2 linked regions of the Arabidopsis thaliana genome follow. The protein of the gene in region 1 binds, or shares a complex with, the protein of each later gene. Each region holds a gene or a part of one and is shown in the gene's direction. Other genes may lie near its edges. The genes, in order: AT2G04700 and ATHM2.

Region 1 (4,871 bases):
GTTTAGATGATAGCTTTTGCTCCACTCTCAATTATTAGGAGCTTTATTAGGGCTATTGAATCCAATCAGTGATAAAAGATTGAATCTTTTGAAATTGAAATTGGTAAAGGTTATATTTTTACAGAAGTTTGTAGCTTTTTTAGCAGATTGAATCCTATTGTTGATAAACTTTGTTGGGTTCTTGAGACTTGCTATGGATTTGCTTCATCAAGCTTTAATACTATTGAAATTGATATTGACTTTCAAGTACTGTTGGGTTCCTGAGATTTGGTAGTTCGTCAAGTTTGATTCTTTTGAAATTGAAAGGTTTTTAGGATTTCAGATTTGACACTAGGAGTAACAAATGGTTCCTCTATACTCTGTAGTTACCACTGGTCACTCTATACACTATAGTTACCTGAGATCTTTATTAGTGAAAGAGATTGTTGCATTGTTGTTATCAGCAAGGTAATGTGAGTGTAACAGTTGTGTATTACTAATTCTTTTTGCGGTGTTGTATTCCTCTTCCAGCACACTATCCGTTGATCATAAAGGCGCTCCCTTCGGGTAATCTTGTTTTCCATGAATCATATCACAATGTGTTTTCTTGCTTTGACATTATTGAGATCTCAATGGTCTCTATTTGCAGGAATGTTGTATCGTTTAGTGATGGTTTACCCGAGAAAGGTAACGGTATACCTTACTTTTACTTAACAACACTTGATCCAACTGCAAGAAACGCACTTAAAGACCAGAGAGCTTCACTTGCAATTAGTGAATCTCCTCTTGGAACTTGTACAAGAGATCCAATGAATCCTACTTGCTCTAAACTAACCCTTACCGGGAAGGTAAAAGAGTTTTTTCTTATTGACACGACAAAGAAACTTACTGTAAAATGCTTTGGTCTTTATCTTATTATAATGTTTCAGTTGCTGATATTGGAAGGAGGATCTGAGGAAGCAGAAGTAGCCAAAAAGGCTTTATTCACAAAGCATCCAGAGATGATGGGTGATTAATTGTTTCACTCATCTCTTAAGATACAGATTCATGATAGATTTGTATTATCATGTGATGGTTTTATCATTTGCAGATTGGCCTAAGGATCATGATTTCCGCTTCTTTAAACTCGAGATCATCGATATATTTCTCATCAATTGGTATGGTGGAGCTAAACCTATCACTGTAGATGAATACCTTCATGCCAAGTCGTAAGTACATTGCGTGAACCCTTTTAAAAACATCGGTAATCTCTGAGAAACCGAACTATGAAAATTTTCGAATCGTATGCCTTTTTCGCATTTGATCTCTTAGTTCTTTTGAACTGTTTTCAGGATCAAACTCGCTTCCTTTTTATAATAACTCACAAGAATCAAGCAAATGGTGAAGCAAGAAAATGTATATTGGATGAACAATAAAAAGTGTGTAACTGTTTCTGTAAATAACTCTTTGTTTTGGACCATAATAGATATTAAAATCTCTTGTAAATTACCTCAAAGCAATTTCAAAGGTATCCAAAATACTTTTCAATTTATGCAATTGAACCAAAACAAATTCTTCCACGTGAACCGAAACGAAAATCGGTTTTGATTTCTCATTTAAACCGAATAAACCAATTTTTTTTATTCATTAGTCTAAAATTTAAATTCTATTATCTAAACATAATTGAACCGGAACTTTCATAAGAGAATTGAATCCAATACACTAAAACAAAATAAAACTAGAAATTTATGTAATTGAACCACGTTGGAGTCAAATTAAAACCAAATCAGAATTCTATTGCAATTGAACCAAACTAATTTCACCAACTCGAACCGAAACCAAAACTCGATTTTTTCATTCATAATTCTACTCAAATTCTTTATCTAAACCGAATTGAACCGAAAGTTTTGAAGCAAAGTTTGAACCGATTCGATGGTCGAATTCCGGTTATTTCCGGTTTGAGGATAAGCTTTATCATTCTCTGAGAGTCTCTCTCTCTGTGAGTGGCGAGCATTGGTTTCTGGAAAATGAACACAAAAAAATATCTGAAAATTTCGATCTAAAAAGCATAAACGAATCCAAATTTCAAGAGGAGAAGAAAAATCTTCAAGTCCACGACGAAACTTTTCATCGATCTTCAAATTCCAGAAAAAACTCGATGAATCTTCAAGCTGTTTCTTGTAGCTTCGGATTCCTTTCGAGTCCACTTGGTGTCACTCCCAGAACTTCGTTTCGTCGCTTCGTAATCCGAGCGAAAAGTAAACAATTTGAATCCCTAGATCTTTGTTTAAAGTGATTGTGATTTCGGTTTTGGATTCATCTTGAATCTTCTTCTTGTTTTTGCAGCGGAACCGTCGGAGAAATCAGTAGAGATTATGAGGAAATTCTCCGAGCAATATGCTCGTCGCTCTGGGACTTACTTCTGTGTTGATAAAGGAGTTACTTCAGTCGTTATTAAGGTACTCTTGATTTCAATCGGAGCTTATTGAAATTTCAGATGAACTTGTGTTGATATGAAGATTGTGATCAACTGCTTAACTATTGAAGTGGCTTGTGTCTTTCTACTTGTAGATTATGAGTTAGTGAATGTAAACATCTTGAGGTTTAATGCTTAACTTTGTGAGCAGGGTTTGGCTGAGCATAAAGATTCATATGGTGCACCGCTTTGCCCTTGCAGGTGATTTGCTTCTTCCGAGCAATCTTGAACTATCTATGTATTCGTAAAGTTTGATCCTTTGTTGTTGATGTAGACACTATGATGATAAAGCTGCTGAGGTTGGACAAGGCTTTTGGAATTGTCCGTGTGTTCCAATGAGAGAGAGGTAAGAACTATCTTCTTCATGTGGTTGCATAATAAGCATTGGGGTTGCTATATAGTTAGAACTAAGAATATAAAGTCCTTTGGGAAAAGCTGGTTATATAGATCGTCTCCAACGTCCTTGTTGTTATTAGTTGGATAGTATTCAGCAGCATACGTATGTTGTAGTTTCCATAGAGGTAGCCGATGCTCCGTATTGGTTGTATCAAGATTGATGCAGAGAATGTATTCACATATTGCTAGGCAAGTGGAAATTGAATTAACCATAGTTAGAAAACTCCTGTAAAACTCTTGGCCTATGTGGCTCTTTTGATCAAATTCTGATACACCGCAAATTTAAGATCCTTTGTGTTTTAATAGGACTTAGTTTAGGTAGTAGAGTTCGATCAATTTTGCATCTGTTGACGGTTTATTCTGATAATACTTGCTTGTTTACATCTTGTACTAAAGTATTTATCACTTGTTCATCAGGAAGGAGTGCCATTGTATGCTTTTCTTAACTCCTGATAATGATTTCGCTGGAAAAGATCAGGTAAATCTCAAATCAAAGCTTGAAGGTTCTGTCTCCATTTTAAGGATACCATTAATGGTTCGAAGCAACTTAGTAGTATTGGGAATTTGGGAACCTATAGTATATAGTATATGGATTTCTAATTCTTTCTCTTGTTTGAATCTTGCAGACGATTACATCGGATGAAATAAAAGAAACTACAGCTAACATGTGAGAGAGCTGGTTCTTCCATGTTCATCACCTCTGTTCTTTAGGTAAAAAAAAAGAGAGATATGTCTCGCCCCAAATGCAGTCTTGTACATTGATACCCCGAGCATCTTCTTCGTTCTTCTGTACAACTCTTTCACTCTTAAGATAATATTCTTTAGTATGATCTTTTGTTTGCAAAACGATTACAAGCTATATAAAAGGATCCAACTTTACACGAAATCTTCAATAAGTAAGCTTAAAAGATCTAAAGGTTTCTCTTTCACATCTCTCAAAGCCAAAGCTTCCATAACAGTATCAATCCACTTAAATCAGTAGTTTTCTCATAACGTATTTCATTTGCTTCTTCTTCTTCTTCGGATCTCAATCTCCAAGTTTTATGTTTTTTCAAGCAGTGATATGGTCTTTACAGTAACCATTCTTTGCAACCATTCTCTCGTGATGTTCAATGTTCTATGTCGCATTCGCATGTGCCAAGTATGAACGGCCTCTATACTTGCAAGTTGTGGATTTTGGGCAAGCCATGCGTGGATGTCAAAGTATTCTTCACATGAAGAGTCGATTATTGTTGTATTCCTCTCTAGTTATGCTGATCAGAAGAAACTTGGTTGTACAATAGTGCTTCGCTATTTATCTTCAATTTGAATGAATAAATTTCCATCATAACTATCGGTTTTGGGCTTTTAAGTTCAATTTAAGCCTTTTAGGGTTTGTAATTTTGTTGTTCTGTTGTCATTGTCAAGGATGTCTTAAATTGACGGAAGAAGTCTGGAAAGAGTTGTTTTTCGAAGGTTAACATTACATTAATTTTGGTCAAGGGATACGGTAGAGAAGATCCTCTCTAGGGTTCCGATGAAATCTCTAAGAGCAGTTTGATTTACATGCAAAAAGTGGAACACTTTATTCAAAGATTTGAGCTTTGTAAAGAAGCACGTTGGTCATGCAAAAGTACAGCAAAGAAAAAAGGAGTTTATCGTAATCATGATGATTGATTTTAGGGTTTATTTGACGCACATCAATCTAAACACCAACGTTGAATCGTGTATAAAGCATGAAGCTAAATTTACTAACCTAGACGATCAGATGAAGTAGATGTAGCTTAAGTCTTTCACTACGATGGTTTGTTGTTAAACATCACGAAAGACAATGCTAAGCTAGTGGTTTGGAACCCGTATTATGGACAAAACCGGTGGATCGAGGTCGAGCCTAGTTTTCACCGATCCGACTTGTATTTGTATGCTCTAGGATATGAGAAGAGCAGAAAATGATGCGGTAGGCACAAAATCTTGAGATTCATTAATTTTTGTCGTGACAATTGTTTCTGAGTACAAAATCTATGATTTTAACTAGTCCTGGGCGTTTGGGTATTCGGTTCGG
Region 2 (4,788 bases), on another chromosome or scaffold:
ATAATCCAGGTACCATAGCTGTTTCCATCTAACAGTTCTGGAGCTAAGACTAAACCAGGATGATCGGAGCTAACAAGATGATAAGGACTGTGACTATTATCAGGAGAATCCGATACCTCAAAGTGACGCGATGAGCTGTATTGAGCTGGTTGATGAATCGCAGCATGAATCGAGGATCCTGGAGCTCTTGCTGATGAACCAGAAGACTGCTCATGAATCTTCGATGAAGCAATGACAAGTAGATCCGGTGAACTACTCCGACGAACACTCTTTCCATTTCGTTTACCCATGGAGAATCGAAACAGCTAACAAATGAGACTGGATCGCAAAGGAAACGAAGAGAAAACGTGTAGAAGTTCAAGAGAAGAAAAAAAATGAGAAGATGAACAAACTCCGGTGAGATTCCAGTGAAATCAAATCGGAAAAGTTTGTTACGAGACTGAGATCGAGATATTTTGCTCTGATACCATATTAGTAAAACAATCTCATTCTCATTAATTAGCAAAAGAGTACAATTGGGGGTTTATATACAAACTGATATTGGCCTAAACCATAAGCCTCTAAACCAAAATTAAGATTGGTTTATAGAATACCAACCTGTACAGACTCTATATGAAATCTATACTAACCAAACTAAGCTTATATACAACAATCTAAGCTATATACATTAATAGACGAAATTTTTAAACAAAACCCAGGATTCGAACATCAAATAACCCATCCCCAACGCAACAAATATTATCAACCAACTTTTCATTTCATCAATGACACTGTGAATCATATAAAAGAGATATGATGTCGGTGTTGAAGATAACTTCTTTATTGTAAGATTATTTTGATCGAATAAGCTGCCTCAAATCTTCTAATTTCGACAACTCTTTATCTGTGAGGACACTATGAACACGTTTGTAAAAATCCATCACTTGGTCTCTAGCTACCACCATTTTCTTTCTTCGCATAGGGCTGGGGAATAATGAGTTCTTACAGTGAAAACATAAGTGGTGACCGGACGCATTGAACCTAACATCGTAGAAAACATTGAGGAAATTTTTGTAACATAATAAAAAGAGACATGTGGAAAGAGAAAACAAAAATAAAACAAAATATTGAGAAGAAACCAAGAAAGGAGGAATTTCTTTAGTAGAGAGATCTACCGAGATTATAAAGAAATTGAGGAGTAGAAGAGATGTCAGCGAGCTAAAGTGACATCAGAGGAAAGACTTTGAAGTGGTTCCTCAATACTAGAGGTATATAAGAAAAAGAAAAAGAGGCAGATCCAAAATGTTGGTTTTGAAAGTTTTATAGATTTTTAAGATTTTGTTTTTGTTTTCATTTTTCAAGAGCTAATTGTCATACCATTACCAATCAAGTTTTAAAATGTTGGTTTTCCAAGAAAATACTTTTGCTATAATCTTTTTTTTTGTCATCAGATATTATTTAGGATTCAACGAACCAATTTTGAAGAAAATTGTTAACAAAAGCGAATTTTTCATGCCAAATAGTTTTTTATTCAAAATTTTAGACTTTTAGTTATCTTATAAGCAAGCGTTATAATTTATTTATTTTTTTAAAGAAAATTTTGAGAAAAACAATTGCGAAAAAATGTCAGGAGATCTTCAAATGTTCAAAAATACAAAAAAAAAAAAAAAAAAAAAAAAATTAGTGTGGGGTAAAATAATACGTTTAAATTTTATTGACTTTTCATTTCAATAGTCAACTTTTAGTGACTTCTTATTTCAGTCGCTAACTTTTTGTTGATGTTGCCAAAATAGTCATTAAATTGACCCGAGATCACAAATTGCGGGTAACGGAACTTTGTTAAAATTTCTGTTAAATCCACAAGTGACTGGATTAAAAAAAAAAAGTGCAACTGGCCTAATATGAGCCCAATAAAAAATATCTCAAAAGTTTTATGGGCTTATTACAGATGGGCTTAGTCAGAGCACTATCTTACCCAAACAATTAAAAAAACAATTTACAATATGTTTTCGTTTTCTACTTTTTTCGGTTATTTTGGGCAAATGATATCTACAGCTCAACAAATCAAAAAAATTCAAAAATATTTCAATTTATTATTTCTCGATTTTTTTCACAACTGTATTTTAATTGTATTTTTAGTAGAAATACTTATTTTTCCAAAAATATTTGTTTGTGTTGATGTATATATAAAAAATCTGCATCAGTGTTTTGTCTACATTTTCTCTTCCATTAGTTTCGTTATCTTTTTATTTTCTCTATCTATCTGGATATTATTTTTTCACTTGGGGATTTGGAGAAACCTCTCCTCTCTCTATCTATAGCCATGGCTGCTTTCACTTGTACCTCTCGTCCTCCGATTTCTCTCCGCTCCGAGACCAGAATCGTATCCTCATCACCATCGGCTTCTTCTCTCTCTTCTCGGCGGATGTTCGCCGTCTTACCGGAATCATCAGGTTTGAGAATCCGTCTTTCTCTCTCTCCGGCTTCGTTGACCTCGATTCATCAACCTAGGGTTTCTCGATTACGAAGAGCCGTCGTCTGTGAAGCTCAGGAAACTACTACCGATAGTATGTTTTCTCACTATTCCTTTTTCGATTTTGGTTATTAACTTGTCTTTGATTCGTGCTCGTTGGTGGATTTTGAGAACTGATTATTGATTTGTGCGAGGGAAATTAGAAGCAAGGTGCTTGAATTTGTGTTGTTGTTCTTGTTGTAGCATTTAGTAATCTGCTAAAAACTTGAGATTAGTTACAGATTAGTGAATCTGGAGGAGGAAGAAGAGTTTCTTTAGGAGAGTATACCTTTTGAGAAAATTCTTGCTGAAAATGAGGTTTCTGTTAGAGGAACGATTCATGCCATTTGCGTGAAATTTGAAGAAGGTTGCTTTTTAGGATCACTTCTTTTTTGGGGATATTTTACTTGATTAATGCAAAGTCTCTCTAACAAACCTAGAAATTAGGTTGGGTACCTACTCAGATATTTTATTGGTTGGATCATACACATTGTGACAAGAAACAGTTATTTGGCTCATGAGAGAAGAATGTTGCTTTTTGTGCTTTAGAGTAAACATATCTTGATTCTCTATACCAGCAGATAACGATTTTGGTTATCACTAGCATTGATATTCTACGATTTTAGATAGGTAAGTCCTTTTCCGTGATAATGTGTTTGGTGAGATTAGCAGTATTATCTGCTACAATGTTAACTCAGTCATTGGTCTCTCCTCTCTGGTGAAAACATAAAGCTTTATCCTTCACTGGATCTATCAAATTTCTATTTTGAAAAACTTTCACTTCTAGATCATTTTTAGGAAATATCATATAGACTTGCTACAACATACTGATCTAGCTGAAGATGGATAAACGGGTCAGCTGTCTCTTTGTTTTATTCGTCCACCTTGGCTGATATATTTTGTTTTCATTCATGATTCTAAAAGCTTTGGCAATAAGGTGTTGATTTGTGTTATTGATCCTGCAGTTCAAGTGGTCAATGACTCGACATGGGACTCTCTAGTTCTTAAAGCAACTGGGCCTGTAGTTGTCGACTTTTGGGCACCATGGTGTGGACCTTGCAAGATGATTGATCCGCTTGTAAACGATCTAGCACAGCATTACACTGGGAAGATCAAGTTCTACAAATTAAACACTGATGAATCTCCTAATACTCCCGGCCAGTACGGAGTTAGAAGCATCCCAACGATCATGATCTTTGTCGGTGGCGAGAAGAAGGATACAATCATAGGTGCAGTGCCCAAAACCACACTCACATCTAGCCTCGACAAGTTCTTGCCATGAAATATCACTTGTGGAGTCTGTAAGATCTCGTATCTCTCTGTCTCTCGTTCTTGTTCTCATTATCTCTGTAACTCATTATCACTGAACATCTAGACCTGGATAAATAATATGATGTCATGTCTTATGTCATTTTTACTGGTTTGAAGATGTTTTGAGATGCGGAACTAAAGGTATCAAAGAACAATCTTGGACTAGACTAATGGAACCACATTAAAATGATTCCACCAATCTTTTTTTGGTCATGAGAGAGATCTTAAGATTGTTTGGTTCTGCAAGTTTTTTGATGAACACACGCTAAGGTTTGTTACTTATTCTAAAACTCCTCGTATTAAAAGATATTATGCGACACTCTAATGAATGAGCACATGTATGCAAAAGGGGCTAAAGGTTCATACATGTCCTAATCTAAAGAAAGAATATACGTATTCAGCTGAAAAAGGTCTTTATCGACCACGAGCAAAAGAGAATAAATACGTTCGAAATATCTCCTTATTTTTGCATAAGCAAAGAAATTCATCCACCATAGTTTATGTGTACCCAATTTGTGGATAAGGATATGTCAATTAGGACAAAATGAATAATAGCCGAAAGAATTGAGTTATTTTTGGACTGATCCCACAGTTCCCGACAAGCTTTTGAGGTTTTAGAGTTGTTGATCCGGTCTATGACTAAAGTTCGACCAAAACCAAGTTATTTAGTTTGGACAATATAAATCAGAAATATCAAGAAGATAAATTATATGATTAGTTCATAAAGTTTTAGTTTTAGATTGCCAAGAAAATATTCTAATATATTAGGTCTGAACGAAAGTGTTAAATCTGATGAAACCTCTCTATTGGTAATGTCTTTTTTTTTTTTTTTTGGTTGCCGTCCTTGGTTTGAGAATTATATATTTAGGCTGAAGATAAGGTCAAAAGAAAGATGCAATCCGGTTTTATAATAATAGATCAGTTGGACTTTTATAAATGCATTTTCGTGACTTTTGTTTGTATCAAACAACTTTCATTATAATATT

Evidence for each region.
Region 2: the proteins of AT2G04700 (region 1) and ATHM2 are in contact, whole or in part, in a crystal structure (PDB 7C3F), measured with the Arabidopsis thaliana proteins. Residues at the interface, in NP_001323778.1 of Arabidopsis thaliana: Thr34, Glu35, Pro36, Asp62, Val65, Val68, Val69, Lys71, Gly72, Glu75, Pro86, Cys87, Arg88, His89, Tyr90, Asp91, Lys93, His116, Cys117, Met118, Met146; in NP_192261.1 of Arabidopsis thaliana: Ala107 (codon at 3,531), Pro108 (codon at 3,534), Trp109 (codon at 3,537), Cys110 (codon at 3,540), Gly111 (codon at 3,543), Pro112 (codon at 3,546), Lys114 (codon at 3,552), Met115 (codon at 3,555), Thr138 (codon at 3,624), Asp139 (codon at 3,627), Pro142 (codon at 3,636), Pro145 (codon at 3,645), Gly146 (codon at 3,648), Val150 (codon at 3,660), Arg151 (codon at 3,663), Ser152 (codon at 3,666), Ile153 (codon at 3,669).

The regions. Positions count from the first base shown.
Region 1 is NC_003071.7:1,644,845-1,649,715, forward strand, and holds AT2G04700 (ferredoxin thioredoxin reductase catalytic beta chain family protein), read left to right. Parts: upstream 1-1,962; 5' UTR 1,963-2,116; coding exon 2,117-2,216; intron 2,217-2,304; coding exon 2,305-2,417; intron 2,418-2,585; coding exon 2,586-2,635; intron 2,636-2,708; coding exon 2,709-2,780; intron 2,781-3,247; coding exon 3,248-3,308; intron 3,309-3,456; coding exon 3,457-3,501; 3' UTR 3,502-4,193; downstream 4,194-4,871. Other genes in the region: AT2G04690 (Pyridoxamine 5'-phosphate oxidase family protein), read left to right, coding at 511-546, 629-987, 1,070-1,191. UniProt on the Arabidopsis thaliana protein: Catalytic subunit of the ferredoxin-thioredoxin reductase (FTR), which catalyzes the two-electron reduction of thioredoxins by the electrons provided by reduced ferredoxin.
Region 2 is NC_003075.7:1,561,570-1,566,357, reverse strand, and holds ATHM2 (Thioredoxin superfamily protein), read left to right. Parts: upstream 1-2,153; 5' UTR 2,154-2,302; coding exon 2,303-2,546; intron 2,547-2,962; exon of another isoform or gene 2,963-3,121; intron 3,122-3,456; coding exon 3,457-3,773; 3' UTR 3,774-4,155; downstream 4,156-4,788. UniProt on the Arabidopsis thaliana protein: Thiol-disulfide oxidoreductase that may participate in various redox reactions. May activate NADP-malate dehydrogenase.